Schizosaccharomyces pombe: one gene and its partners. Changing the gene in region 1 together with any one later gene gives a genetic interaction. Each region holds a gene or a part of one and is shown in the gene's direction. Other genes may lie near its edges. The genes, in order: ufd2, vph2 and cdc48.

The links.
Region 2: mutations in ufd2 (region 1) and vph2 together harm fitness more than expected from each alone (negative genetic interaction), as found in Schizosaccharomyces pombe (2 studies listed by BioGRID).
Region 3: of ufd2 (region 1) and cdc48, a mutation in one rescues a mutant of the other (synthetic rescue), as found in Schizosaccharomyces pombe (one study listed by BioGRID).

What each region holds. Positions count from the first base shown.
Region 1 is NC_003424.3:2,122,353-2,133,676, forward strand, and holds ufd2 (ubiquitin-protein ligase E4), read left to right. Parts: upstream 1-6,088; 5' UTR 6,089-6,110; coding exon 6,111-6,128; exon of another isoform or gene 6,129-6,136; intron 6,137-6,170; coding exon 6,171-6,914; intron 6,915-6,960; coding exon 6,961-9,157; intron 9,158-9,197; coding exon 9,198-9,271; 3' UTR 9,272-9,361; downstream 9,362-11,324. Other genes in the region: rad57 (DNA recombination mediator, RecA family ATPase Rad57/Rhp57), read left to right, coding at 938-1,004, 1,100-2,097; whi2 (phosphatase activator), read left to right, coding at 2,640-3,452; gih35 (ATP-dependent RNA helicase), read left to right, coding at 3,715-3,805, 3,849-3,926, 3,975-4,039, 4,088-4,344, 4,381-5,152, 5,199-5,300, 5,349-5,517, 5,560-5,880 and 1 more; Rho family GTPase Rho5, read right to left, coding at 9,543-10,074, 10,193-10,263; family protein ICE2, read left to right, coding at 11,087-11,324. UniProt on the Schizosaccharomyces pombe protein: E4 ubiquitin chain-elongation enzyme specifically involved in polyubiquitin chain assembly.
Region 2 is NC_003421.2:66,510-75,568, forward strand, and holds vph2 (V-ATPase assembly protein), read left to right. Parts: upstream 1-1,742; 5' UTR 1,743-2,021; coding exon 2,022-2,444; intron 2,445-2,507; coding exon 2,508-2,726; 3' UTR 2,727-2,970; downstream 2,971-9,059. Other genes in the region: RNA-binding protein Rnc1, read right to left, coding at 1-176; SPOM_SPCC757.11C (transporter), read right to left, coding at 3,132-4,547; aah1 (GPI-anchored glycosyl hydrolase family 13 protein), read left to right, coding at 6,974-8,851. UniProt on the Schizosaccharomyces pombe protein: Required for vacuolar ATPase assembly.
Region 3 is NC_003424.3:1,301,613-1,312,273, forward strand, and holds cdc48 (AAA family ATPase involved in ubiquitin-mediated protein degradation Cdc48), read left to right. Parts: upstream 1-4,832; 5' UTR 4,833-4,844; coding exon 4,845-4,900; intron 4,901-4,956; coding exon 4,957-7,330; 3' UTR 7,331-7,654; downstream 7,655-10,661. Other genes in the region: knd1 (cullin-associated NEDD8-dissociated protein 1), read right to left, coding at 305-3,930, 3,969-4,005; DNA-binding transcription factor, glucose starvation sensing, Rst2, read left to right, coding at 9,368-10,661. UniProt on the Schizosaccharomyces pombe protein: ATP-dependent chaperone which probably uses the energy provided by ATP hydrolysis to generate mechanical force to unfold substrate proteins, disassemble protein complexes, and disaggregate protein aggregates.

The sequences.
Region 1 (11,324 bases):
AATAAAGCCAGATAACTTATCAAAGAATTCTGATTTGTTGACAAAAGCAATTACAATACTCAATTTTTAAACAGTTGCCCTTGCTTCGAATTTCAGCTGCCTCCGTAGTGCAATCTGCGAGCGTTAGGGTACGTTATTTATCTATTACCTAATTCTTTGTACAGTTGAAGTTTCATGAGATGAAAAATGTATCATGTATATTTTGTCTGTTATTGAGAAATCTCAACAAAGTTCTATTTAGTATTACTTCATGTTGAACCAAGCATTCATAAACTAAGAAATTTGTTGGTAGCTGGTAAACTGAGCGAATTATCGTCGGTTGATTGGTAAAACATCATTTCTTATACTTCGTTTGCTCAACCATACTACGAATTTTAATGCCTAACAATTAATGAGCAATACACATTTGGATATGCTGCTTATATAATTTCACATATCTTGATAACTTAATTATCAATTAAGGAATGGTGGTTAGGCAAGTATGTGTATCATTACGTGGGGTTTTTCATAGATGTATGGTTTGAAGATGTTAAAAAAATAAGTGTAAGCGGTTACTATGCTAATGTTCTATAAAAACCAATGTTCATATAAATATTCGTCGATTGCGGGGCTTCTTCTCATAAGGATTATAATTACTAAACATAGAGGTATTGGCAGGTCAGTTGTAATTCGCGTACAACATCTTCGACTCACCACTTCTATAGTGGTACATAAATTACCGTTTCTTTCTGCGAAAAAGTGGGTTAGAAGTTCGTGCTATTACTTCTAAATAATCGTGAGAATTTAATTCAATCGTAGGATACAAAGCTGTTCATTATATAAAACTATCAACTTTCGAATATTCTATGGTGTGGATATAATTTTCATTTATCTTTATGAGTAAAAACTATACATATCATATTTACAATTAAAAATCTTCTTTCTTTCTACTATATGGATGGATATTTCGAATTATGTTGACAATTTCTACTTTGATGAGAAAATTGCTTCAGCATTTGAATTAGGTAAGCGTTTAGTAGTTCAATAAGCTTGCACATAAAAAAAAAATATTGGGTTTTTGTACCGGGATCTTAAAAGACGGAATTACTGACAGCTTTAGGAGAAGTAAGCACGGTTGATTTGTTAACGCTGGATATTACTGAGCTAGAAAGACGCACACATTGTAGTCAAAGTGAGTTATTACAGTTAATTGAGCAGATATCCCTCCTTCTTCAACCAGTAAGATGTTCTGCTTCCAAAGTCACTTCGAAATATTTGACAACTGGCGATGTAAAGTTGGATGAAACTCTACATGGAGGTATACCAGTAGGACAGTTAACTGAAATATGTGGTGAAAGCGGTTCAGGGAAGTCACAGTTTTGTATGCAGCTTTGTTTAATGGTTCAACTACCTCTCAGTTTAGGAGGAATGAACAAAGCAGCTGTCTTCATTTCTACAGAGTCCGGTCTTGAAACAAAACGATTATTTGAACTGGCGCGTTATTTACCAGAAAGGTATCCCAAAGCTGATAAGAAAGACATAATTATAAAAAATCCAGGAGATAGGGTGTATACTATATTATGCCCAGATCTGGAATCTCAAGAACATATCATTCAGTATCAACTGCCGATTTTATTCAATCGGGATAAAATTGGGTTGGTTATATTGGATAGTGTCGCCTCCAACTACAGAGCTGAGCTCCGTTACAACCGATCCAAAAGTCATTTTAGAGATTTAGATAATATTGCCAAACGTGGAAATCAATTGGGAAAGTTAGCTATGACTCTACGCACTTTAGCTCATCAACATGAAGCTGCTGTTGTCATAGCTAACCAAGTTAGCGATAGAATTCCTAGAGATTATGATGCTATTGGGTTGTTTAGTTTAGATTATCAATCGCAATGGTTTTCGGGATGGGATGACACAGATCCAAATCCCAAAATACCATCTCTTGGTCTCGTTTGGACTAATAACATCAGTACGAGATTAGCATTAATTAAGAAAACCGACTCTGCCACCAATAATTCGGGGAGAATCTTTCGGGTTGTTTATTCACCAAATTCTCCAAGGCTTGACGTACGAATATGCATAGGATCGGTTGGGATATATTCGTGCTAGCATTTTTGTAAAAATTTTATATATAATATAATAAAACCGGTTTATGAATTGCCCTAACTTTGTTTAATCGACTGTCGCTTATCAATCATTCGCAGAAAGAAAAGTAATGCTTTGAGTAACTGTTACATATATAAGTGTACTTATTTATCTTTATATTTATATTACCTCTGTCACTATTAAATATATATTTTGTTGATCTATGATGGTAGTGCATTTTTATTAGAATCCGACATACTTTAGTGGACTGAATTTTGGATATACCAGTTGGGTATTGAAATGGAAAAAAATACAATAAAAAGTTTTACACGTAACAAAGAATGCCCAAAGAGCTCTCTTAACCGACGAATGGCTTTTTCTACCTGTTTTTACTATTGCGCGTAAAAGATTTTGTAAGACCTTTCCGATAGCTTCCGCTATTGGCGATCCTTTAGAAATTTGCACCTAACATTTTTACCAAAAGCCAAGTATGCATTGGTGATATCTTGTAAATAAAAAATGAACATTCTTTTATAACATAATCGTTACAAAAATAGAACACAAAAATGTCAGTTCCAATTGATCGAATCAATACGGTTGACACTTTAGCCAATACACTGGAAAGTAATTTAAAGTTTTTTCCAGAAAAAATACATTTCAACATCCGGGGCAAACTAATAGTCATTGATCGCGTTGAACTTCCAATATTACCAACTACCGTGTTGGCACTTCTATTTCCTAATGGGTTTCATCTGCTTTTAAAACATGAGGGAGGTGATGTCTCATCATGTTTCAAATGCCACAAAATCGACCCTTCCATTTGTAAATGGATTTTGGACACCTATCTACCATTATTTAAAAAAAGTAATAATGCTTATCCCTCAAAAATTGCATTTAATCCTATATCGAATACTACCCTCGTTTTATTCTTAACAGAATGTTGCAATATCTATTTATTTTCTGAAAATAAAAAGCCCGTCGACCAAAAAATCAGGAGCGACTTATTAGAGCAAACTTTCAAGAACAACGACGTTTTTGAAAGTGCAGACAAAAAAAAAATCCGAAAAGGGCTGAGTGATGGACCGCTAGTTGATGCATTACAGCATTGTGGATTTCGCTACAACGATAAATGGGCCAAGAGAGTAAAGGAGCCAAAATTAATGAGCTTAATGTCGTATATCATAACAACAGTCGAGAGCTCCTCATTAAGCGAAGAATTTTTGAGTAAAATTTTGAAGCTATGGGGACAGCCAGGTAATAAGTGCTGGTGGATAAACGAAGTTATAAAAGTAAACGGATCTTTAATCAATGTTTGGAGGAGAAAGCAGTGGTTGTTGGAAGTTACGATTATGGGAAATCGTGAAAATTCTCAAGACTAAGTGTTTTAGTAAAAATAAGATTAAAAAACATTTTGCTAAGTTAGGCCGTGCATGCAGCCATTCTTTTAACAGATACCAATGTTACGAGGTTTCCCAGATTTTACTCAAATTGCGTGATAATTATTGTAGTATATTTATTTTGAATAATAATTTTTTATTTGAATTTTGTTAATACTGTTTTTTATAAATATTACAATACGTTCAATCTAGTTGTGGTAACATGAAAGTGCTTCCACTTACTTGATGCTCTCTACGCAAGAGTATGCCTAATGAGTTTATTTCCCAATCGCTTAGTACTCTTACAAATACACCCTTAAATATTCAGAAAAAGCTATTACCAATCACCAAATACAGTATGTAGCTGTTTTACCCTTACATTGCTGACGTTACATTTAGGAAACCAGTTGTTATATGCAGTAGAGCAAAATCAGATTACTATAGTGTTAGGCCACACAGGATGTGGTAAAACAACTCGTAAGTATTTTGATTAGATGGTTTATTAAACTAAAAATAATCTTGAAGAAATCCCTCAATTTTTATACGAAGCTGGATGGGCGTCCCAAAACGGTATTATAGGATGTACACAGGTTAGTCACAACTTTGTTTATTTATCATCCTCCTAACTTATTTGAAAGCCCAGAAGACTCGTAGCAAAGAGCGTCTCTGAACGAGTATCTTTGGAACTGAACTCTCCTCCTGGAAGTTTGTGTGGATATAGCATTCAATTTGATCATAACGTTTCTGAAAAAACAAAAATAAAATATATGACCGATGGAATCCTTTTGAATGAAATATTTTTTGATCCTTTGCTGGAAAGATATTCAATAGTCATTCTCGACGAAGTCCATGAACGAACTTTGTCGACAGATCTCCTACTAGGAGTTTTGAAAAGGTATTTAAATTTTCTATTCATAGCTGACAAATCAAGGATTTTAGAAAAGAGGAATGATTTTAGACTTGTGCTCTCCAGCGCTTCTGTTGACGCGAATAAACTGTCTCAGTTTTTCGGACAAGATAAAGTATGCACTATGTCAATTGAAGGGAAATTATTCCCCGTAGAAACATTATTTTTGCAGAAACCTACAGAAAATTACGTTGATTCTGCAATCGAAACGGTTATAAACATTAATTCAACCTATCCGCCTGGTGATATATTGGTTTTTCTTTCGGGAAGAAAAGAAATAGAATACTGTATAAAAAAGATTGAAGATTCCTTAATTCATGCTTCCGAAGACTGTCAAACTTTAGTTCCTTTACCTTTACATGCTGGTCTTACTGTTGACGAGCAAATGCGAGTTTTTAACATATATGATGGTGACTTCAGAAAAGTTATATTTTCTACGAATATTGCTGAGACTAGTATTACTATTGATGGCATAGTTTATGTCGTTGATTCAGGTTTTAATAAACAACGGATATACAACCCGTATACAAGGACTTCAAAATTGATTAACGTGCCTATATCTAAGTCAAGTGCTATACAGAGAAGTGGAAGAGCTGGAAGGACAATGAGGGGAAAGGTGTTCCGTCTATATACTGAAAAAGCTTACAGCTTGATGAAAGAAGAATTTGAAGCAGACATCTTAAATTGCGATATGTCACCGTTGGTGTTATTTTTGAAAGGTTTAGGGCTAAAAAACATACTTCAGTTTCCCTTTTTTGTCCGTCCTCCCACAGTTCACCTTATGGCGGCTCTAGAGGTTTGTGAATTTTATTATAGCCGGCAAACAACTAATTTTTTTGAAGGACCTCTATCTTTTAGGTGTCTTGGACGAAAGTGGAAATTTGACAGACCCACTTGGCATACAAATTTCCAACTCATTCTTGGATGCAAACATCTCCAAAGCTGTACGTACTCCCATATAGGAAATAAAGTACACGCTAACCCATCATTAGTTACTTACTTCCAACCAATTTGGTTGCACTCATGAAATTCTTTCAATTGCTTCAATACTTACAGCAGGCGAAGTATTTTATAATCCCACAAGTTCATCAAAGAATGATGCCTTCGTTGCCCATTCTTCTTTTTTTGCAAATGAAGGGGACATCATTACCGCATTAAATGGTATGCTTCATTAATAAAGTTTAAAAGTGTATTAACATTTAGTTTTTGAATCTTTTGTCGGTAACAAAAAAGATTTACAATGGTGCAGGAAAAATTATTTGAACTATCAAACTTTGCGCCAAGCCCTTGACATTCGCACTCATTTGGTTCGTTTTTTAAATAAATTTTCTATACCTACTGCTCAAAGATTACCATCCAGTGATTGTTCCAAAATTTTGAAATGCCTACTTGATGGTTTTGTGCGTAACGTCGCACATTTACAGAATGACGGCTCTTACAAAACAATAGGAGGAAAGCAGGTTTGGTTAGACTCTAGTAGTGTACTTCATGAAAAAAAAACACCATGGATCATGTATTCTTCAGGTAAGCCTATTTGTTATAAGACTATTTTAACGTTTTAGCTGTCGAATCAGAAACTCAAATATTCGTGAAGAATATTTCTAAAATAGAAAGTTTTTGGCTGGATAAATACTATAAACGAGAAAAATAATATATGTTAATACAATTTCATGTTACCGGTTTAGCATAGTAAGTTTTGGTAGTTAAAACATATGTTGACCTCACTTCCACCAACTTGCTCAATCCACCCCATTATGAGTGATTTGGAAAAGGTAAGAGAAAAATTTCAGCTAATTGCTAATATTGGCCCATAGATTCGTCTTAAAAGGCTTGCTAAATTGCAGCAGACCAATTCGGAGGCAAATTCTTCTAAAGAACCTAAGGAAAGCAATATTGCACCTGAACCTAAAAAACCTGATTTAAAAAAGAGATTTATTGGTTCAAAGGCTACAACATCAAATTCAGAACAAAAAGAAATATCTCCACCTGTTACATCTGGTGCTCCAAAACATCGCTTGTTTTCTAAGGATGAATGGATGCATTTTATAACATGTCAGGCTCTTAATATTACATTAAGTGAAACTGATTCATCAAAATACTATTTAGAAGGTTTTAAAAAAGATTTAGAAGAAGAGGGATCCCCTTTATTATTTAATGAGAATAATGTTGACTCTGCGTTACTCTCTCGACTGTCAACAACTGGCAACAATACTTTCTCTTATTTGTTACAGTCTTGGAGTTTTCTGTATCAGTATAAAAAGAGACTTCCGAAGGATGAAAACCAGGACTTTAAAATTCACTATTTATCTCTGTTAAAAAGTTTGCTTGTCAGTTATGCCGGTATTGTAGTAATGCTTCCTGACACATTCAATTCGGAGACAATTGATTTGGCCGAGGTTTTAATTGGTGCAGAAGGTATACCTTTGGAATTTCTATCAGAATTTGTTCAGAGGTTTGAACACGAAAACTTAGATGAATTGTTTATTCCTGTGTTGGAATCTTTATCTTTGAAAATTGGTCTTATGAATGTAGATACTGTTCAAATGAATGTGATGCAGGTATGAACATCAATTTTTATCTTTTAGCATAAACTGATATTTTTAGATTATATTACAACTTGTGTCATTAAAACCAATTGCATTACTTTTGCCGAAGTTGCCTTCTTGGAATCCTACGAATAATGCTGGAGAAATTGAGTACAAAACGTTTCTTGGAAGAATATCAAGCTTGTCAGTGTTTACTCAAGATGTCGCTTCTCGATATTTTTCCAATTCTACTGAGAGATCAGCCCAAAATATATCTTCGTCAATAAGTTCTTTAAAATTGACTATGTCTACTTATCAGGATGTCCTTTTTCAAATTTTCAATACCCTCATTCGAACATCTACATCTTTGAGAGAGTCTGTGTTGGATTTCTTTGCCATGGTGGTAAATGCCAATCACAAGCGACAATCCATTCAAGTTAATCATTTTGATATTACATCTGACGCCTGCATGCTAAATTTTTCACATGTGTTAAGCAGACTTTCTGAACCATTTCTTGACATAGGATGTTCGAAAATTGACAGAGTACAAGTTGAATATTTTAGGAGAAACCCTCGCGTTGATATCAAAGAAGAGACTAAATTGAATGCTGATCAAAAGGCTTCGGAATCGTTTTATTCAAAACCAGCCGAGGGTTCCAATAACTTTATTTCAGACATATTTTTTTTAAATCTCGCATTTCATCATTATGGTGTAAATGCTACCTTTAAGGCTTTAGAGCAACTTGTGCAATCAATTCGTGATAGCGAGAAACTGAAAGAAAGATTAGAGACTGAACAGCAAAATATGAGCGGTAGTTTTCAAGCGACACGTCTCACTGCTCAATTAAGTCGGCTTGATCAAAGATTGGATTTAGATAGATCGTTTGTGCACTGTTATGAGATTATGCTTACGCAGACATCTGATACTTCAAGATCATTTTCTTTTCTTAATTTCGTTGCCATTTGGTTATCGAGGTTAGCTGATGGTCAATCTTCGACATATCCAAAAATGCCGCTATCGTTACCGTTTAATGAAAATGCACCGGAAGCTTTCAAATGTTTACCTGAATATTTTATTGAAACCATTACAGATTATATGTTGTCTTTATTTAAAACCTCGTCGAGTACTTTGACGCTGCATTCCTTAGAGCCTTTGTGTGAATTTTGTGTGTCGTTTCTAACTCAAGCTAATTATATCAAAAATCCTTATTTGCGAGCGAAACTTGCCGAGATTTTATACTTTGGAGTGCAAACGCACGTGGGAAGATCAGAATTGTTGTTAGATGTTGTACGTACGTCGAAGGTTGCAACAAGGTGGTTACTTCCAGCACTTATGGCGTTTTATATTGAGATTGAATCTACAGGACAATCTACCCAATTTTATGATAAATTCAACATTCGTTTCTATATATGCGAAGTATTTAGAACTATTTGGAAGCAACCAGCCTATTTTGGTAAGCTGGAGCAGGAGCAAAAAACAAATTTGCCGTTTTTTGTTAAATTTGTAGCTCTCATGCTTAATGATGCTACATATCTTCTTGATGAGGCTCTTTTAAAACTAACCGAGATTCACAACCTTCAGAGCCTTTTGGCAGATGCAATAAGCAATAGCAACTCTAACCAGAATGTTCAAGAATCGCAAAGCAACTTAGCGGCCGCAGAACGTCAAGCTTCTACTTATTGCCAGTTAGGGAATGAAACTATTTTTATGCTCAAATTGTTCACTTCCTCAATTCCTAAAGCCTTTTGTGCCGTTGAAATTGTAGATCGGTTGGCAGCTATGCTAAACTATAACCTTCAAGCTTTATGTGGCCCTAAGTGTAGTAACCTCAAGGTAGAGGACCCAACGAAATATCATTTTAATGCAAAAACCCTTTTGTCGATTATTTTCGATGTTTATCTTAACCTGTGCAATGAACCTGCATTTGTCGAAGCTGTTGCTCACGATGGCCGTTCTTATAGTAAAGAAATATTTGAACGTGCGACTAGCATTATGACTAAGCACAACCTCAAGTCATCTTTTGATATAGAAGCTATTAAAGAATTTGTGAATAGGGTAGAGGCATTCAGATTGCAAGAGGCTACTGAAGAGGAAGACATGGGTGATATTCCTGACTACTTCTTAGATCCTCTTATGTTTACAATAATGAAAGATCCTGTTGTTTTACCGAGATCTGGCATTTCGATTGATAGGTCTACTATTAAAGCACATCTACTAAGTGATGCCACCGACCCATTTAATCGAACTCCATTAACGCTTGATGATGTGACACCGAGTAAGTTTTTTTTTTCCACTGTTAGTTACTAATTCTTTAGATGATACATTACGTGAGGAAATTAACACGTTCCTGAAATCAAAACGCAACAAACATTCGCGAAATAGTGAATGAATATAACTGTGTTTATACTAGTTTTTTAATGAAAGGCTTCGATAAGTTTAAATAAAAGATTAGACAATTAATTACTATGAAATATTTAAACATTCATGGAAACTCATTAGGTAATGATTCGAAGGATAAAAAACTTGGTGTACGGTACCACAAAGGTTAAGCTCGTAAAATAATTCCTTTGCACAAGAGGATAAATGAATATAGTGAATCTAACAATACAGAATGTAATTAATAGAACGCTCTTATACACCATAACAGAGATTGCATTTCATCAGAGTAAGATACAGTGCTTCTTCTTTTTTGTCTTCGGTACACTAGCAGGCTTAAATTTAAGCATGGAAGCACGAGCTGCAGTCTCAAAAACCTCATTGACCCCTTCGTTCAATTTCGCTGAACATTCGAGATACTTATAGGCGCCAATCTTTTGAGCTACTACCTGTCCTTCTTCAAATGTGATAGGCTTCTGTGAGGTTTTGGAGAGCTCTTCGATTGTTTTTGGATCGTTTCGTAAATCCACTTTACACCCAACTAGCAAAATGGGTAAATTGGAGCAGAAGTGAAGAACTTCAGAAATCCATTTTTCTTGAACATTGTCCAAACTCTCTGGAGCATCAACTGAAAAACAAATCAAAACGACGTGAGAGTCTGGATAGGAAAGAGGGCGTAAACGATCGTAATCCTCCTGACCAGCTGTATCCCATAGTGCCAATTCAATATGCCTTCCATCAACCTCGACATCGGCAACATAATTTTCGAAAACAGTAGGGACGTAAACTTCAGGAAAAGTTCCTTTGGAAAAAACACTAAAATAATTGTTAGTAGATTAATCGCTTTAAAAACACAATTGTTGTTTAGATAAATCAAATTCACATTTGAAAAGCTCGATAACAATGAATAGAATTTCTAAAAGGGCAAACGTACATCAACAAGCATGTTTTACCACAAGCACCATCGCCAACAATAACCAATTTACGACGGAGCTCAGTAGTCATAATGTCGAATAAAAAATTTCTTTTAAAATAAAAAATTGTTGCAAGTATATCAATAATTGGTTCGTGAACGCAAGGAATTGCCCGCTTTGAAAAAATCGATCTCAACTACCAATGTAAATATAAGGCGACTGATAACTCAAGCAACGAATAAATAGGGGGCAAAGCAAAAAGAAAATATAAGCGGCGTCTTAGAGTAATTTAATTGTAAAAAGAATTGTTAAAATCTATTCAATTGAACTAAATTTCAACTTTCCTTTTATAAATTTATGCAAACACACAAGTGGAGCAGCCCAGTAAAACCGACCTGATGGAAAAGATAGTAGTTATAGCTTTTTATTATGTTTAAAAAATCCTTTGGCTTTTATCTATACAATATTTTATAGTAAATTGCTAGTATACTTTCGAATTTTAAAACGTAAACAATAGGCTTTGGTGTGGTTACGAGCATGCTCCCCCTCTTCCAAGATACATACAAACCACGTATTGCGTTATATTGTCGTATATCTATTAACGATTAATAAGGAATATGAAAGAAGCTTGATAAGTTTCATTGCCTCAGCCGTTCAAAATTCATATAAAATTATTTAGCAAAACTCCTTAGCTACGGGATCAGTGCTACTTCATGAACGATTAAAACAGCACTGAATGTAAAAATTAGTGTTTATAGTTTACCTGTGAAGGATTTAAAATTATAGAAGAAAAAATAGAGTGAAGTAGTTTTCAGTTTGGGTTCTACTGTGTTAAAAAGATAGTAATTGTACAAAAATTGAAAAATCAACGTCTTGCATTTACGAATTTGACCAATTTTTAATAATTTTTGGCAATGGACCAGGAAATTAGGTCGAATAATTATGATATTTCGGTTTCGACAGTGGAGGACACGAGTTTTGAAGCAATGGATGATTCTATATTGGAAATTATTGATGATGAAGCACCAGAGATTCAGGGAAAACCTAAAGCAAATATATCAACACATTTCCGCAACATGCTAGCAATGTTTGGGAATTTCCTTTCCCTGGGGTTTTTTTTAGTCATAATAGTTTTAGTAGGAATCGCCTTTG
Region 2 (9,059 bases), on another chromosome or scaffold:
GAACCGTTAGTAAGAGTCGATAGAGGTGTAGAGGGCTTTGGAGTAGGTATGGAAACTTTAGCAATGCCAGTAGCAGTAGAAGTGGTTTCGTCGGGTTCGTCTTGAAACGTTACGTCAAAAAAAGAGTTCTCTTTTTCCTCGATGTTTTTAGGAATGCTGAAGTGATTGTAAGCCATAGATGTCACTGGAATAGTATTGGTTAATTGAATAGGACACATATGCGTTTCTAGGAGGAGAGTAGAACCTTTTCTAAATTACTTCCTGAAAACTGATTAGTTCAAACCTGCAGGGATTTAGCGGAGATTAAAAAAAAAAAGGAAAACGGATTAGGCTCCTTCTAAGCTCTTATTGCAGTTTCTTATAAATTGAAATTGCAATCAATAGCTGTGATTACTTCGACAAAAATGAAGTAAACGACCAAGGAGAACGGAGTAGTGGTAAACGGGGTGTAGCAGTGACAAAGAGAAAATTTTCTGCAAGTAAGTCTTTTGGTGGGGAAATAACGAAGTTTGAAGAACGTATAGTAAAGTCGCACAATTTACTGATAGGAAGTGGTAGCGTAGCTTTACGCCTCAGTCGTTATATCTTTGGAAGTGAAAATGATGAGATTAATAAATGAGAAGAGCATTACAAGAATGGGTTTTTTAAATAATCGTAAATTTCCTAGCTAAAGCTAACGAATGCTGCCAAGTGAAATATCATTCTTTTAGTCAATATAGCAGGTATTAACGTAGTTGTTTTCGTTGGCCTTTGCTTCGGTATATAGGATAGCGTGGTTCAAGCGACTTTGTAAGATCAGATGAAAGATAAAGGGCAAAAACCTAAATAGCGTCCATGCATCAGTGGAACTTTCTTTCTTCAGATTACGTTATATGGTATAGTGAGCTTTGAAAATCGTTGAAAAAATTCGAATTTAATGGTGCAGAGGCAAAGACGATATGGACGTTCGGAAAAATGAAAACTATACTGGAGGAAGTTATCTTTATTTGATTCTGTCTTCGTAATTAAGCTTCCTTCAGCTTCGAACTTTTCATTTCCTAATTCGAATACCTATTTGTTCACCCGTACCTCTTTAGGTTTATATTTGTTCTTGCAAACTGTTCTGCGGCGATATGAATTTTGCTACCCCAAAGTTTACGTAAGCCAAGTTTGTCGTAAATAAATTCGCAAAAAAAAGTACTTTGGATGGTGCAACATGGAAGAATTGAACGCCGTTGAAACGCTGGTATTTTTGAACATGAAGTATCTCAGTATTCAACCCAAAGTCATAAAAATTCTTGAACCTTTAGCTTTCCAAGCGCTGAATGAGCATACTGGGACACATTTTGAAACCATAGACGCAAGTAATAATTGCGTAAGTTATATAAAACTCATAGAGCCAACAAAGCTAGTAGCATTTACTTCTTAATATTATATTGAAATTCCAATAAATAATCTTTGAATATCGTTTGTATGAAATACCCGAGAGCAATTGCGGCGCTAAATTAAACTGAATGTTCAGTTACCAAGATTTATGTCACTTCATAGAAAGATATAATATCACAGTAGCGTGTACCATTCTTCTATACCTCACTGAACGAGGAAGTCTACAATTCTGCTTGGCCTAGCACAGTGTTAGCGAGGGTGAAGAATAAAATTATGATGCTAATTACCAAAACGGTGATTTCAAAAAAAGTTGAGGAACTTTCATATTTTCATTTTTTGCCTCTTATAGGACGCTATGTATTACGTTGCGTAACTTTGACTTTTGCAAATACTTGGATGTACCACTGTCTCCATGTTTGTTTGTTGGTCAATATAAAACGTAGTATTAGACATTAAAATATTGGTTTAATTATTTCATTTAGAAAACTCAATAGAAATTTAGCAAATATCGTCAACCAACCTAGATTGATCCTGTTTCACGCAATTCGGACTATATGAATCGTTTTTGATTGCTTTCTAGACTTCATAGCATTATTACTTACCCTTCTACTTTTTTAATACCTTCGAAATTGTCAAATTGACTCATTATTGCAAAAATGCTGTACAGGCTCTCCGAAAAACAGCAGACAGACTTACGGTGTAATAAATTAACTGTCGATGGATTTGAGCTGGTAAAAATGTTAAAGGAATTACGATTACATAACAGGAATATCAATTTTTTGGAATTTCTTCGAGGTGTACAGATTGTGCCGAGCGACAGTGTCTTCTTGGGCGAAATTGATGAAAACAGCCATACTCAAGACAATACAACTACTTCTATCTTAAAGGAGAAAGAGCTATATGATGGTATTCCTCTGCTTCCATCAATGGCAGGCGTATCCATGGACCCTGAGAGAGAAAAAAAATCAGAGTTACGACTAATGAAAAACCAAATCAGCGCTATAATCAATATACTCTTCACAGTAGTAGGAACGGTGACCGCTGTTTGGTACTGCACTTCATCTTTATCTATTGAAAAGGTATGAATTAAAAACTTTCGTTTTGTTCCTGGGAGACCTTTGTATTGACTTAATATTATTTAGAAAATTGCGCTATGTGCGTTTTCAGCAATCTTGGTTCTAGTAGCAGATACGTTTCTTTATGTCCGCTATCTATCTGCACAACCCGTACGAACTTCAAAGAATCATACTCGACAAATAATATATACATGGACAACAAATGACCCTGTTCTACAGTCAAATGAGCAGCTAGCTATAGAACTGGGAGCCATTCCATCTTTGAAGGAAAAAAAGAACCAATAATTATATTCTTAATTTTTAGATGTTTTATTAACGAAAGTACCTTTGATGTTTTCCTGTAGATGATTTTTATAGGTTGTTTGTCTAATTGATCATAATGGCATACCTCTCTATGTGTTAATTGAAGGGCAGGCACCTATGGGCACACTATAGATAAAAAATAAAAAGTATTTAAGATAAAAAATTCGAACTCATTTGGCTTTTAACGTATATTTCATCAATTAATTTCATTATAATTAAAGATTTAGCAACATTATTTCAATTTAATTAGCCATTTGGTATTAGATTTATTTGTAAGGAACACAACTTACAAATTTATAAATAAACAACAAATCAACCCCCCCTTGTAAAAAAATTAAAAAAAAAAAAAAAAATAGAGAGCAACCTAACCATTGAGTTACCAGTGAATTATGCAAGGCGCAACTTGACCTTAAGTTTCTTCCATATAATCAATAGTGCAAGCACAGACATAACGTTTAATATTAAGCATACCGCAAAAAAAACAACAGGTGAGAACGAGCGAAATGCACCGCCAAAGATAGCACCAACTGTGTCGGATAAGGAAATTGATATTTGCACAGCGACGTTACCTATCAGGTGGTACTTAGGATGTAAAACCTTTGTCAATAAAGAGACCGAAGGGGAATTAGCAATAGAAGATCCAAAAAAAACAAGGGTGTAAATAATAAAGTAAGGTTGTACGAATTCCTTGCCTGTATAGTGAATAGTTATATGAATAACCATGCATACGATGTTTAAACAACAACCCAACAATATGATATCTCTGTCAGTCAAGTAACGCGTCAAATAGGAAAATATTAAAAGCAAGGGTACGTTGATAATTCCAGCCAAAGAAAGGAAGTTACCTGCTTGGAAGGATGAATAATTATAAAGCATAGAAGTGTAAATTGGAACAGATGCTTGGTATGCATTTAATAGAAAGTAAGCAGAGAAGCCAGAGAAAGCGACAACGAAAATAACAAGACACCCCACAAATCCTAGTTTTGAATTGGTATCCTGTTTGACATCATTAATGACATGCTTCTCTTCGACTACTTCTTCCTTTACGTCCGTTTGCGGGCTCAAAACCTCCCGGAAACAAGCAAAGCCAAACAAAAACAAGCCTACCCAAATGAAAGCCATTAGCCAGTTACCCGAAGTATATTCATTCCAGATATCGCTTTGAGACTTCATTGAAGACTTGGCCATTAATCCTCCGATGAATGGACCAGCTGTCAAACCAAGCGTTGCCATGACTGAGTTGACCACACCCATCGACGTTCTATATTTGATGCTGATCAAGGCTTTATCTGTGAAATAGCGCTTGTGGTATAAAAACATGGTACACGCAACACCCGTAAAAATACGACTCACAAGAATCAAGGCCACACTTTTGGCTTTATCTGCGAGTGCATACATGATATGACCAATAATGCAGCTTATACACGACATTGTATATGGTCTTCTATAAATCGTATATCCCTTGGCAGCTTTCGGAGTCGAGAATCTCAACATGGGATACAGCAACACAAGGGCAGTGATTGTGGGCAATCCGATAATTACACCGGACAAACCATTTCCTCCCCCCAGATGTTGGACAAATCTCTCGGACGTAGGAACGACAATGGTGAATGAAATGCAAAGAATTGTGTTATTTAACAGCATCAAAGCCGCACTGATGAACGGTGGTTTATGCGTAGCAGCCGGTGAGGCAGAAGGGTCATTGGAAACTAATCTTACAGATTGCTTGTATCCCGACTTTTCCTTTTCATCAAGAAAGGATGAGACCGAGAGGTCTTTTTCTAAATTACTTTGTTGCTCCATAATATAGACTCAATGGATCCATTCAAAAACCTGCTCTACTACGAAAACTGGCCTGTGGAATAAGGTATAGAAGGAACGAGAAAACAAAGAGAAATTCTTTGTTGTTTTCAAATATTTTGGTGTGAGTAAAGGAAGAAAGTGGAATTTCAATAGAATAGCATGACTCGTTTATTTTATATGAGATCAATTTTTTTAAGTTGATGATATCCGATAATTTTCATCATCGTATAGAATGGATAAGAATTCCCAAAATAGGATATCCACGGTGCTTCCCTAATTAAGCTTTCCGTAGTGCGGAGTATTTTACCATATATCAGTCATTAGTTGTACGGCTACTGTACTAGCTCACATGGTCCAGTGGTTAAGACTCATCGTTGTGGCCGATGCGACCCAGGTTCGATTCCTGGTGTGGGCAGTTTATTTATTTGTTCTTTTTTAAATTATTAATTACTTGTATAAATAGGAAATAATCAGCGAGAGCAAATAGTACAATTCAGTTATGGCAAGTACAAAAACGCAAAGATAAATGCAAACGTAGAAACCGGTAGACATGATGGTAGAAGGAGAATAGAATTATGATAGGATATGATGATAAGTATCGAATAGAAATGTCTTGCAAAGTGTGTTTGGCAGATAAGCCCATTTGAGCGGTCGAATATTTTATGCTTTTTTTCAGGGCCAGCCGGCAAGATCACCTGTCTATTTGTCCGTTGGCAGTAAGCGTTTGCTCAAGATATGGATGCGCTTCAGTACTTGAAGATTTACAGACTGTTCGGGACGGAAAGACTCATGACTGTTCGGGTCGATCATTTTGGCTACTATCCGTCTGTCTATGATAACCAGTGTATGCATGGAAAAAATGTATCGTAAATCGTTTAATGAGAATAGGGCATAAAGCGTTATTCAACGGATGAAGAAGGAAACTTGACAATGGCGATGTTGAAAGACAAGCTATGTGAGATAGCAGATTGGTTCCTTGCAGTACACCAGCCCCTACAAATACTATGATTCTTTTAACTTAAACATCCTGCTCAGTTCCTTCTAATCAATACTTGGTTACACTAGTTTTTTGGCATAATGAGTTCTCAAACATGCTTTACAATCTCTCTTACATTGTACTATGTATGATGAAAATCCAAGTTTTGCATATTTCGCCTAGTGCACACTGCCCACAACCTTTTCTCTTGCACACGTAGGTGGCTATGAAAGAGGATCGTCTGTGCGCCTCATAAATATCGTTATTCAGCATATCAAGTTTTTGCAGCAATGTTTCATACGACGCTCAAACATCCTACCTAGATATTGTTTTTTTGAATTTATAGGCCAAAATAGAATAGAATGACAATTTGCTTTGTACTCACCAAGTCCGCGCTTGTGATTACTTTGTAATCATATATTTATTTATTTATTATTCTTGTTCTATTGTTTATTTACTAGTGACCTCATCTTCCTTTCCTGAACATCGCAATGTTTCCTCATCTCTTCTTCCCTTTCCCATGTCCTCGTTCCTAAAGTTAAAATCTTTGTTTATCGACCTATTATTAATAATCGGTAAACAAGTTTAACGCTTGTTCTTACACCTTTTTATGTGTATTTACAGCCGCCAAACGTGGCTTATTCAAAGCCCCACTTGAGAACCAATGCGAGCGCATCTGGAAAAAGGGCTATCGGTAACAAACAGTCTCATCTTACGTCAGCCTAAATCCGCCGAAGCAGCGATCGGCCTCGTGGTTGTTACCTAGCTGCCATGGCGATATTTGTTTACATTCGTGCTCGCAGTCATATAAATAAAAGATCCTCGCTACACTACTGAACCTCTACACATCTAACATTTTGCATATTTTTCTAATATCCTCCCTTTAGTAGGCTATATCTAAAGGGTTTGATACCCGTTCTTCATAACTTTTCTTTTTCTATCTTTTTTGTTTCGTTTTTTTGGTTTCTTTTGCGTGCCAAATTTTTGGTCTTTTTGATTTTGCATTTCATTTCTATTTTTCTTGGTTTCCCCATTTTTTGGTTTTGTATGAGTGTGCTCAATCAACTTGTCAAATAATTTCCTCATCGCATACCATATTGATTAACTTTTCCTTTTCTTTTTTTAATCGTTTTTTTTTTTGCATTTACATTCCCACTTGCCAAACCGAGAATATATCGCCCGGCGTTTGATTTTGTTTCCCATATTTTCCTCTTCGACACGAGCCTTTCCTTGTTGCCTTCTTTTGTTTTTTGTTTTTTTTGTTTGTTGAGCCGTCATTTCTACAAAACATTCCCTTTTGCATTTTTCATCGCATATATAGCCTAAAAGTTATCTCTCAAAGTGCCATCTATTTTTTGGTTTCTTTTTTTTTTCAGATTATTCTTTTTTAATTTGAATTCTCCCTTTCTCTCTCTCTATTTCAATCACTTCCAGAAAAATTAGCAGAAGTATGGGGTTTTCTAAAATAGCACTTTTTTCTTTATTCGCGCTCTTCGGCCTTCCTACCTCTCTTGCTAAAAGCAGTGAGGAATGGCGCGACCGTATCATTTACCAGGTCATAACTGACAGATTTGCCGTTGACTCTGATAATACACCCGATTGCTCCTTCGATGATAGTTCTTATTGCGGTGGTACATGGAGCGGTATTCGTTCTAAACTCGACTACATCCAAGGAATGGGATTCAACGCCATCTGGATCTCTCCTGTCGAAAAGAATCTTGAGGGTTCTTACGGTAGTGATGGTGAAGCTTACCATGGTTATTGGAATACCGATTTCACTCAATTAAACGAGCATTTTGGTTCGGAGGATGATCTCATCGATTTAATCACTGATATGCACAATCGTGACATGTGGATCATGTTTGACGCGTTGGCCAACTCAATGGCCATTCCAGGACCCACCGATAACATCAGCTACTCGAATCTTGTGCCTTTTAATGACTCATCCTACTTCCATCCTTACTGTTGGATTGACTATGGCAGTAACAATAATACAGATATTGAGGATTGTTGGACTGGTGATGACAATGTCATCCTTGCCGATTTAGACATTGAGTCCACGAATGTTGCTGATTATTTGCATGAACATATTCACGATATGGTCGAGCGTTATCAGATTGATGGAATTCGTATCGATGCAGTTAAACAAATGAATCCCGAATTTTTCCCCAACTACACTTCTGCTGCTGGTGTTTTTGCTATTGGCGAAATGTTTAGTTACGATCCCAATGTCTCTTGTTCAGTGCGTAATTATCTCGACAGCATTACCAGCTATCCCATTCGTCAAGGAATTGAATTTGCATTTAATTATACTGGTGCTGCATTTGAATATCTTCAGGAGATTGATACGCAATTCCAGCAAGCTTGTGAGGGACAAGATATGTCGGTTATCGGAAACTTTTTGGAGAACCATGACCTTCCCCGTTACACCTCTATTACCAATGATACCTCACAAGATATTGGCGCCATTGTTTTCCTCCTTCTGCATACTGGCATTCCCATTATTTATTATGGAGAAGAACAACGCTTGCCTGGTGGCTCTGATACCCCGGAAAACCGTGCCGCCTTGTGGAATTACGGCTATGACACTGATGCAAATTATTACCAAACCATTCGCACTGCTATTGCTCTACGAAAACAAGCTATAAGTGACAGTGATTCTTGGACCACAGATTCTCACTCTTATTTGGACTACGATCTGCGCCATGCTGTGGTAAGAAAAGGTGATGTTTTGGGAGTTTACACAAACTACGAGTCAAGTTCTGACAACGTTACTTATGATGTCTCCTCTAATTTTGATGATGGTACTGTTTTGCGCGAGGTTTTGAGCAATACTACTACGACCGTTGGCTCAAGTGGAGCATTGCACGTTACTGTTGTAAGCGGTCTACCTCAGGTCTATTATCCTGAGGCTAGTTTGACTTCCTTTGGAAACTTCCTAGGAACGGCCACAAGTTATTCTTCTGCCTCGGCGAGCTATCCTTCTACTTCGATGAGTGCTTCGCTTTCATCTGTGCATACATCATCTGCCACATCAAGCTCCAAGTCTAGCTCTAGCTCTAGCTCCAGGTCCGGCTCTAGTTCAAGTTCAAGCTCCAGGTCCGGTTCGACTTCTTCTAGCGGCTCTAGCCATACCATCACTTCTACTTCTCAAAGTGTGCACACGAGTGGATCGTCGACATCTACTAGTAGTGTAGCGGTCACTTCCACGGCATACAGTAGTAGTTCTAGCTCGTCTTCCTCAAGCAGTATTGAAAGTTCTGCTAATGCTGTTCGTGTATCTATCCTTGGCGTTGCAGCATTCATTGCTATCGTTCTATTCATTTAGTTAAAAAAATAATTTTATGGAAATCTATCTTTTGCATCTTTAATAATCTCAACGCATGCTTAAACTTTCGTATTCGCTACAGTGTTACAGTGTCTGTTTAAGCTTGTTGTTTTTGCTAACTATAAATCGTTTCATCACAATAAAACATCATTTTTGCACACATTCAATAAAACTAGTGTGTAGGTGCGTTTACGCGTAATAGTCTGTA
Region 3 (10,661 bases), 820 kb from region 1:
AACATGGCAGTGTCATTTTTAAAATGCTTGACGACCAGAACAAGCCAGTAATAATTAATATATTAAGTCAACCAAATGCCTCTAAACATTATCATAATTAACAATATGACAAATATGGTCAGCATTTATTTTTCTGTTTCATTTTGCACACCTTAGCTTTTACTGTTTAATGCGTCAACTGGATTCATCTGAAATTAATGAATATATCAGTTGAGAAGCGCATTGTAGGTTTCAACATTGAAATATTGTAGGTAATCAAATGCCAGTAAAAATTCAAAGGGAATTTCCAACATTATATTCAAATTCAAGTTTTAATTGTAGTTTTGATTTCGTTCTTTATTCCCTCATATTCCAAGGAGTAAGGACCCTTTTGAACTTGACTTTCGAATTCAGAAATTACAGGATTGTCGCACTTCAACTTCATTGTAAACAAAACTCTCAAAGCAGAACGAACCAAATCAAGGATATTATCGCTATCTGTCTTTAAAGTCTTTTCAGTTTTTCTAAGCTCTATAATTTTTCGTAATGCTTCCAAAATAGTGTCTACTTGCTCGTCTATAATTGAAGGGCTGCAGTCGACAAGTTTTTCCAAGATTGACAAAGATACTAGCTTAATATAATGTTCATCTTCTAACCCCATGACAGAAACCTGTAAAAAATGGGTTAAATGATTCAAAGATTCAGGGATATCCAGTAAGGAATAAAGTGTTTCAAATACTAGCTGCCGTTGATTTATTGAATTATCAACCACATGTTGGAAAGGGCCCATTTGTACAACATGAACGTTACTAGAATCAACTGATGATTTGGAAATTAAGCCTTGTAAAAGTTCATTATAAACGTCTGCAATGCAAGAACGCCTATTTTTTATCACAGATATTATGACCTGCAACGTTTCTTGACTAACTTCGAGGTCTGGATTTTGAAATAGCTTATACGCCTTTTCAAAAAATTGTTTCTCATAAGCTTTCAGTTTAGGACAGTCCAATGTCAACGAAAAACGAAACACCGAAAGAGATAAAAGCATATGATTTGAAGCTTCACTGGAGGATAAAAGTTCTAGCTTATAATATAAGCTAGAAGATTCATTACAAATTAAAAGACCAAGACATTCAGATAAAAGAGTTCTGAAGGGAGAAGTGGAAAAGTCTTTAATGTTTTCAATGTCCTTAGAAAGGATATCCCATATTTTATCTGCTGTTTCATAATCGATTTTTGATTTCTTAAGAAAAGTTAAAAAGGAAATTAATAAAAGTTCTTTATCATAAGCATCTGAGACGTATAAAGCACATAATTCTTTTATGAATTTTTCACTTTGACTAGTAAGCGACCCTAAGGCAATAGCTGCTGCTTTCATAACATCTGCATTCGGCGAGTTTAAATTACTTGCAATCGTATCAAAGTACTCATTTGCAGGAAGTGTTAGCTTCCCGTAATCAAGCTGTCCAAAAATTAAAGTTGTGAAAACTTTTATCCGTACTTCTGATTTAGGACTCATAAAACTTTTATTCAGAGACGTAACAATGGCCTTTGATTGAAAAATACAAATCAGTTGTGCAGCAATCAATGCCAATGTAACCATTTCTTCAACAGGTTTTTGTGCACAAGTGAAAGAATTAATAATCAACTCCAAATCTTCTTCTTTCGAAATAACAGCAATAATTCTGCTTAGCAAACAAACGGACTCTTCGTTCAAATGTATGGTTGATGATTGCAGATGAGAAATTATAGTGTCTATTAGTAAATTTTTTGATTTCAAAAGGATACTCAAAGGTATGATTAGCAAACATTTTAAAATTGCAACCGTATTCTCAGTGTTTCTTTTAAGAGTCTCGATCAGTAAACCTAAGATATGTTCAAGCAAGCTTTCAGCGAGATATTTTTGTCCAACTTTCAAGAGCACTTCTAATAGTTCCAAATAAGCAGTCGTAAATTCATTGCCACTTTTGTCGATATGCCTACAGCAATCCTGGAGTATTTCTTCATAAATTTTTGTTCCATTTTCTATCTTAGTAATATCTGTAACGGACATGAAAATATCACATAACGCTCTTGCAGCAGCACTTCTAGTGGGCTCTTCCTGTAATTTTTTACATAAAATAATTAAGACACGTCTCAGGAATATAGAATCAAAATCAGGCTCATAGAAAAGAATTACGTATTGAGAGACCAGATCTATCAAAGCTAAACGAACTTTCAAGTCAGAAATTTTAGATTCCAAAAGTTGAAGTGAAGAATCAATCATTGTGGAAAAATCTGTTGAGACGTTAGTGGGTTGCTTTTTATGAATATATTTGCAAAATGACAGCTCAGTAATTAAGGCCTCGTATGAAAGTTGTGGGTAGTTGTTTTGTACCGCTAAACTTAATATAGTTGACATTTTAGATTCCATGTTTTCTATCTCTTCGCAGCCGCAAGAAATGATAGCTGATATTAAGCGAACTAAATTCAGCTTAATTTTTATATCAAGGGTTGAAAAATCAGGAAAACGGTATATAATTGAGCTCAGATTTGAAAATTCGGACTGAACACCAAGATCTCTTGAAGAAAAAATCACTGTAACTAGGTTCAGTAATTCAGATACAATGGAAAGTGGAGTTTTATCAGATAACTTAGAGACATGCTTTCCAATTACAGACACTAAATAAATAGAAGTATCCGATATTGCTGAACGGTCCGATGGTAACCCTTCATAACGACGCTTTCTATCATTAGAAGTTGCATACACCTCTATCCAACGAGGAACATGCAAGAATGCTTGTTTTAATACTTCGATAGAAATCAAGCAAACAGATTCCTCTCTATCGTTTAACTTACTAACCACAGAAGTCCCTAGTGCTTGAAGGACTATAGGCAAATACTCTAAACGTGACAAAATTACAGACAAAACGACTTTCAAAGATTCTCTTCTAACAATCCAAGATACATCTTCTTCATCTTCGTAAATGCTGCTATAGTCACTCATTTCTTCGAGAAAGTCAGCGATATCATCTTCATCATTAGTATCAGATATTAAATTGGGATCATAAGAAATTTTAGAGATTAAGAGACCATGTAATTCTGGCCAAATTTTCAAAATATTCACTTGTTGGTACTCTAATAACAATCCTAAAACCTCCAACAATTTTTGCGTTAACTCATCTGGGGCTTCTTCCTTCTTTAATAACGATAATATTTTATTGGTGTAGTCAGCAACTGCTGTTGAGATGAATGATGTAGATGAATCTTTTTCTTTTTTAGATGACAGAAGTATTTCGTTAAGCAATTTAATAGAAATATTTACCTCGGACATTTGGGTCGAGGGTCCCAAACCTCGATCAAGCACCTCAATTATATATTTGTATGCAAAGCGAGGCCCATAAAGTGATACGTCAGAAAGGAGATAGCAAGCCTTTTTAATAATTAATTCTCTTTGGCATTGTGTCGTACATTTTTGGAATACGTCTATACACAATTCAAAATTGTTAGGTAGAAGAGTCGAAAGATTAGAATGGTATATTTCTAGAGAATCACAGACCACACAGAGAATTGCAAAAAATTCCTCTTGAGCAACGTTGTACTGTTTTAAAATTTGTAAAAATGAAGGGAATACAGTCGAAGTATAAAATTTGTTTACGAAAGGTTGGACGTTCGAGTTGGACAAAAGCAAACTGAGAGCAGACAAGTAATTTTTCGATTTCTTCCCAGCAACTCCAGAAAGCAAATTTTCAACAGTAGATTTTAACTTATCTTGTGGAATTTTGCTAGAAATTATAGCAACACAACGAACTGCCTCTTGTTGAACCTCTGGCGAAGCATCACTCAGTGCTTGTAATAAAACATCGAGTGTATCAGGAAAGCTCTCCAATTTGAGATTTTTCAAATGGTTTGCATCATTAAGTCGGGCAGCTAAATCGCTGAGTGCCATGTAACGTATGTCTTTATCGCTACCTGCAACAGTTAGAGCTAGTTTTTTATTTTTAACATACTTTCAACGTATTTTTTTAATAAAATTCCCTCCTCCATTTTACAATTGATTAATTTTTATGGCCACTAAGGTAGGGATTCAGCAGTTTGTACAATGAGCCTGACAGCGTGTATCATAAAGGATTCCACACCATAAGCCATATAACGAACAGTAAGTATGGATATTTAAAACACATTAAATTCCTTATTAAAGATTGAACTAATTTTATTATTGATTGTGCAATACAATCAATAACCATAAAAGAAGAATATTTGATTAGCCTTAACTTACTGCTAAACACTTTTACAAAACGCTTTCTAGAAAATTGATGTTTATAGTTATAATGATAAATAATATTGCAAGGGTTTCAAACTAAAATATTTAGCTTACTAAACCGCCAACCAAGTTTCATTTCAATTGAAAACGGATAACACTCAAAATGTTTATTTTATGCTTAGTAATGAAGTTTTAAGCACATTTAGATATAGGGCGGTCGTTCGAATTTTTGCATTTCTGTAGTTTAAAATTTCCTCGTAGATTTTACTAGAAAATTGTTTACTATTGATGTTCTTGGAACATTCTAATAGCAACGACGTTTCCTTGGTAAAAGAAGAATAGATAAATTAAATTTGGCAATTTATACAATACGTGTTTTCTAGAGATGCGTTAAATAAAAACAATCTAGCGAAAATAATGGAAATTGGTAGTAACGACCTTGCGAGGCAGCTATGTAGCAGAAAGACTCAACTGCTTACAGATGTTATTATACAGAAAAAAAACAATTAGAAGAATATTTAGAAATAATTTACCTTTTTGAGCAATAATTTCATGTATCTTTATAAATTGAATGCTCATATATAAGCGCATGGTGCATGGTCGAATGAACGCACCATCCACCATGACCGATAAGAAACCAGAAGTGGAACACCTTCAGGGTGAAAACCCTCCAAAAGAGTATGTTTTCGATGTAGCAGTAACTTTTTTTTAGAATTCGATGCTAACAAGCTCAGTACATATAGTGCAGAAGACACAGCAACAGCTATTCTTCGTAAAAAAAGAAAACCAAATTCTCTAGTGGTCGATGACGCTACCAACGATGATAACTCAGTAATCACATTGTCGTCCAATACCATGGAGACTTTACAACTTTTCCGTGGTGACACAGTTGTCGTTAAAGGAAAGAGACGGAAAGACACTGTCTTGATTGTTTTAACTGACGAAGAAATGGAAGATGGCGTAGCAAGAATTAATCGTGTTGTTCGTAACAACTTGCGCGTAAGGTTAGGCGATATTGTAACGATCAATCCTTGTCCAGATATTAAATATGCTGAACGAATTTCAGTACTACCCTTGGCTGATACCGTCGAGGGTCTTACTGGTTCTCTCTTTGATGTTTACCTTAAGCCGTACTTTGTTGAAGCGTATCGTCCTATTCGAAAGGGCGATCTTTTCGTTGTACGGGGTAGTATGCGTCAAGTTGAATTTAAAGTTGTTGATGTTGCTCCTGATGAATTTGGCATTGTTAGCCAGGATACAATTATTCATTGGGAAGGTGAACCCATTAATCGTGAGGATGAAGAAAGTAGCTTGGCAGAAGTTGGCTATGACGATATCGGTGGTTGTCGTCGCCAGATGGCTCAAATCCGTGAGCTTGTCGAGCTTCCCCTCCGTCATCCCCAATTATTCAAAAGTATAGGTATCAAGCCACCTCGTGGTATCCTTATGTATGGTCCTCCAGGTACCGGTAAAACTTTAATGGCTCGCGCAGTTGCTAATGAAACGGGCGCTTTCTTTTTCCTGATTAATGGTCCTGAGATTATGTCAAAAATGGCAGGCGAATCTGAGTCTAATTTGCGGAAGGCGTTTGAAGAAGCCGAAAAAAATTCCCCTGCTATTATTTTTATTGATGAGATAGATTCTATTGCTCCCAAGCGTGAAAAAACGAATGGTGAAGTTGAACGACGTGTTGTTTCACAATTATTGACTTTAATGGATGGTATGAAAGCTCGTAGTAATGTTGTAGTAATGGCCGCTACCAATCGTCCTAACTCTATCGATCCGGCATTGAGACGTTTTGGTCGTTTTGATCGTGAAGTCGATGTTGGTATTCCTGATCCCACCGGCCGCTTAGAGATCCTTCGTATTCACACAAAGAACATGAAGCTTGCTGATGACGTTGATCTTGAGCAAATTGCTGCTGAGACTCATGGTTACGTTGGATCTGATTTGGCATCTTTGTGTTCTGAAGCTGCCATGCAACAGATTCGTGAAAAGATGGATATGATTGACTTGGATGAAGATGAGATTGATGCCGAGGTTTTAGACTCTCTAGGTGTTACAATGGATAACTTCAGATTTGCCCTTGGTTCCAGCAATCCTTCTGCTTTGCGTGAAACCGTTGTGGAAGTTCCCAATGTTCGTTGGGAAGACATTGGTGGATTGGAAGAAGTTAAGCGTGAATTACGTGAAACTGTCCAGATGCCTGTTATGTATGCCGAAAAGTTTTTGCGTTTTGGTGTCACTCCCAGCAAAGGTGTTTTGTTTTTCGGACCCCCTGGTACAGGTAAGACATTGTTGGCGAAAGCCATTGCCAACGAATGTTCTGCCAACTTTATTTCAGTAAAGGGACCCGAATTGCTTAGCATGTGGTTTGGTGAGTCTGAATCAAACGTTCGTGATATATTTGACAAGGCTCGTGCTGCAGCTCCTTGTGTCGTTTTCTTAGATGAGTTGGATTCTATTGCCAAAGCACGTGGCGCTTCTGCTGGTGACTCTGGTGGTGGTGATCGTGTTGTCAACCAACTTCTTACTGAGATGGATGGTGTTAACAGCAAGAAGAATGTATTTGTTATTGGTGCTACCAACCGTCCCGATCAGATTGATCCTGCCTTGATGCGTCCCGGTCGTTTGGATCAATTAATCTACGTTCCCTTACCCGATGAAGAAGCTCGCTTCAGCATTTTGCAAACTCAATTGAGACATACGCCTGTTGCTGAAGATGTTGACTTGCGTGCAGTTGCTAAGGCGACCCATGGCTTCTCAGGTGCTGATTTGGAGTTTGTTGTACAAAGAGCTGTTAAATTGGCCATCAAGGACAGCATTGAAGAAGACATCAAGCGCGAAAATGAGACTGGAGAGGCTCCTGCTGACGATGTTGTTATGGACGAAGATGCATCTGTGTCTCAAGTTCAGCGTCATCATGTGGAGGAGGCCATGAAAATGGCACGCCGCTCTGTCAGTGATGCAGAAGTCCGTCGTTATGAAGCTTATGCCCATCAACTCCTTACCTCGCGTGGTCTTACAGGATTCCAGTTTGATTCGGCTGATAGTAATACTAATGGACCAAGCTTCGGAAATGATGGTGCTGATGATTTGTATGCATAGAAACTACCACCTTAATGCATGAATTCTATATCCGATGATGAACAAAATTTATGTATGAACATGGACTTGCCTTTTTGTTGAAGTCATTTTTGTAAAAGGTGATTGATTGATTGATAATAATGACTTCTCTGCTACTTAACATGAGTTTGTAGGGATTCTTAAATTTAGTCTTTGAATAGAACGAATTTTTTTTTATGAGTAAGAAATTCTTGAACGCCCAAGTCTAGTTTACTACAGCATACTATTATGTTGACTGTTGTGTTTAGTTATAACTTTTCGTCAGTTTTTGCAAGTGTAGAAATGTGCATTTTCACACGATTCACATAACGATCGGCATATAGATAGAAGCCAACCCGGAGATCCAAGTGTTAACCTAAAATGTCGTTATCGAAATAGTAGCATATTTGTATGTGTAGTTATTTTCAAGGTGAACTGCTACTATGCTAGTAGTGTGCTAGCGATGTTAAGTCTCTTCGTGGAGGCAACGCCCCGTTAAATCTACTGGAAGAGCTAAAACTGGGATGTTCCACTATCGACCACAACGAGTGGACGATATCTGCGAGCTCATGGACATGTTGTTCGGCAGATAACCGTAGTTTGACCCTACCCCCACAAAAGTATGTAATGTCGATTCAGAATTTCCACATGGTGCCTTAAGCATCGTTACCTGTGTTACCTGGAAATATTAGGTTATTATAAAATTTGTTTAGTCGCGACAACGACATGCATTAAACTGACAATCCTCCATATACATGAGTGAGATTGAAATTATTTGTTAAGAAAGAGTTTTGACGGATTCAGAAAGTTTGAGTAATTAAAAGTATCAAGGTTTTTACTAGAAGTCAGTGAAAACATTCAAAAACGATTAATCGTCGATATCCGGCTTTTCGCCACTTGACCAGTTAGTAAGCTTAGAAAGGAAAGAGAATCTTTTACACTAGAAGATTTTTACTTCTAAGTTGCAATAACTTCATTTATTCGAATTGTAAAATACGAGTTCACTGCAGAGTTTCAGATCATTGAAGATTATTGCACTAAAATTCGTTTTTAAGTGTTAAAAGCTGATTTGTTCTTTACAATTCGCATAGGATACACTTCATTTATCATTCAATTTTGGTTTTTCCTTTGTGAAATAGGAAAACCGCAAAGCGTTTGTCTGTTATTTTATATTTTTTAGTTTGGATGTATAAAATTGACATCCTTAACCAATCTATCAGACATTTAGTATATATGTTATAGGATTCGTTTTTTGTCCTTCACGTGCCTTGTTTCAGTTATTATTTGACTGTTAATTCTTTCTCCTTTCCTTACATTTCCGATTCTCCTCTTGACGTACATTGTTTCGACAATACGTTTCTTATTTCCTAGTTAGTGTCTAATTCTATTTAAAGTGTGGATGGCGTTTATCTTTTTGAAATTTATTTTCCAGGCTTTTTTTGAAATAGACTCTTCTGAAGTACATTAAGTTTTTCAAGTGTCTTTTCTTGTTTATCTGTGCTATTACTGTGTGCAGGTTCAATCGATTGTTTTTATTCTTTCTCTGTCTATTTTACCGACCTTCTTTCCTTGTTGTTCTTCGCGGTGGCTTTTTGTTTGATTACACTCTTTTTTTATCCCCTTTAAAAAAAAAAAGTTTGGCATCTCAACAGTTCTCCTCATATTTTCCTTCTTCAACTACTTTTCTCATCTCCCTGTTGTCCTTAAGAAATATTTAACATATTCTGTTGCTTTGCTATTAACGTTATTTGGTAAAATTATTTGGCAGATTATATCTTGCTTATTTTTGCCTACCTGTATTTCTCTGACAAGTCAATTTTGATTTATTTAGCTATTTCTTTTTTCTGACTTGTTGATAACTAATTTAGGATCTTGCATTTCATTTTCGAAAATTATTTTGCGGTTTTCGTTTTTAGTCTTTTTGAATCCTGATTGCAATCACTTTCAAGCTTTATTTCCCTTCATATCTTTTATTTTAACAACATATTCTTCTTTTGAAAAATAAGAAAATAATTGTTTAATTTGAAAACTTGTTTTATCATGACGCGTGAGTCTTTAGCACCGATAGCCTCGAAAGCTAATACTTTATCCGAATCAAAAGTTTCGGAAAACTTGATGTCTATTAATTCCGATTCTGGTACCTCTAATGCTAATACACCCAGCTCTGTTACTTCTAATTCAAAACCTGTGGCTTCTTCTACCGCTGCTAAAAAGGACCCTAATGCCCCACCCCAGAAAGTTAAACAATATGTTTGTGAAACATGTACACGCGCTTTTGCTCGATTGGAGCATCTTAAACGACATATCAGATCTCATACCAACGAAAAGCCTTTTACTTGTAGTGAGATTGATGGTTTACCTACAGGTTGTGGTCGACAGTTTTCGAGGCGTGATCTTCTACTTCGTCACCAACAGAAAATCCATAGGAATCCACAACCTCGAAGAAGACGTCGTTCAACAACGGCTTTACCCAATCCTTCTCTTTCAAATGTTTCGGTAAGCACAACAAATTTAGCTTCTAAACCTGTTATTTCTTTACCTCAGGCAGATTCCATTGACAAATTTCGTTATCCAAAGTTGCATGCCGCACTACAAGCGCAGCTTGCGAACAACTCAGGTTCATTTTCTGCAAGTTGGTTGCAAGCCCAACAACAAAGGCTGGTTTCTGCCGGTAATGGGAGGGAAACGGTAAATGCCTCTGCATCTGGTGCAGTAAATCCTACATCTTCTCAATGGTCAGATCAACGTCTCGGTGTGCCTTATGGACCCGACAGTCCTTTGTACTATCGTAGGGCAACCATTGCCAGCGATTTGAGGCCTTCTGTTTATCAACACCCGCAGCTTTATGACTTTAATAGACCTGAAAGCCTTTCAGGTCAATTAGACGATGAAAGTTTGGCTAGAATGCCGTATTCACCTAACGCCGTTTCACGAAATTACGCTATGAATATGACACTTCCTGAATCTATTCCTGAAGGGTACGAGATTGATAAATTGGATTGGATGAGTTTTAGTGAGTCTTTAAATCTTCCTACTTTCAATCAACCTAGTGGCCCATCTGATGTTTCTGCTTCGTTTCTTAATCTTCAGGCTATGCCTTCTCCTCATGCTTCACCAAAAGATTCTTTGATCAACAAATCAAATAGTTACTTTTTTCAGAATCCTCCTAAGAGTAATTCTGTGGATTATACTCGTCTTGATAATCTCGAACATATGCGTCAGTCTTGCATATCGCCTAGTGGCACTAATTTTTCACCGAGCTGTTATAGCCCTGAATCTTTAATGCAGCAACCATTAACGTTGAGTCCTTCTTCGATCCCTTCTGGATTGCCCA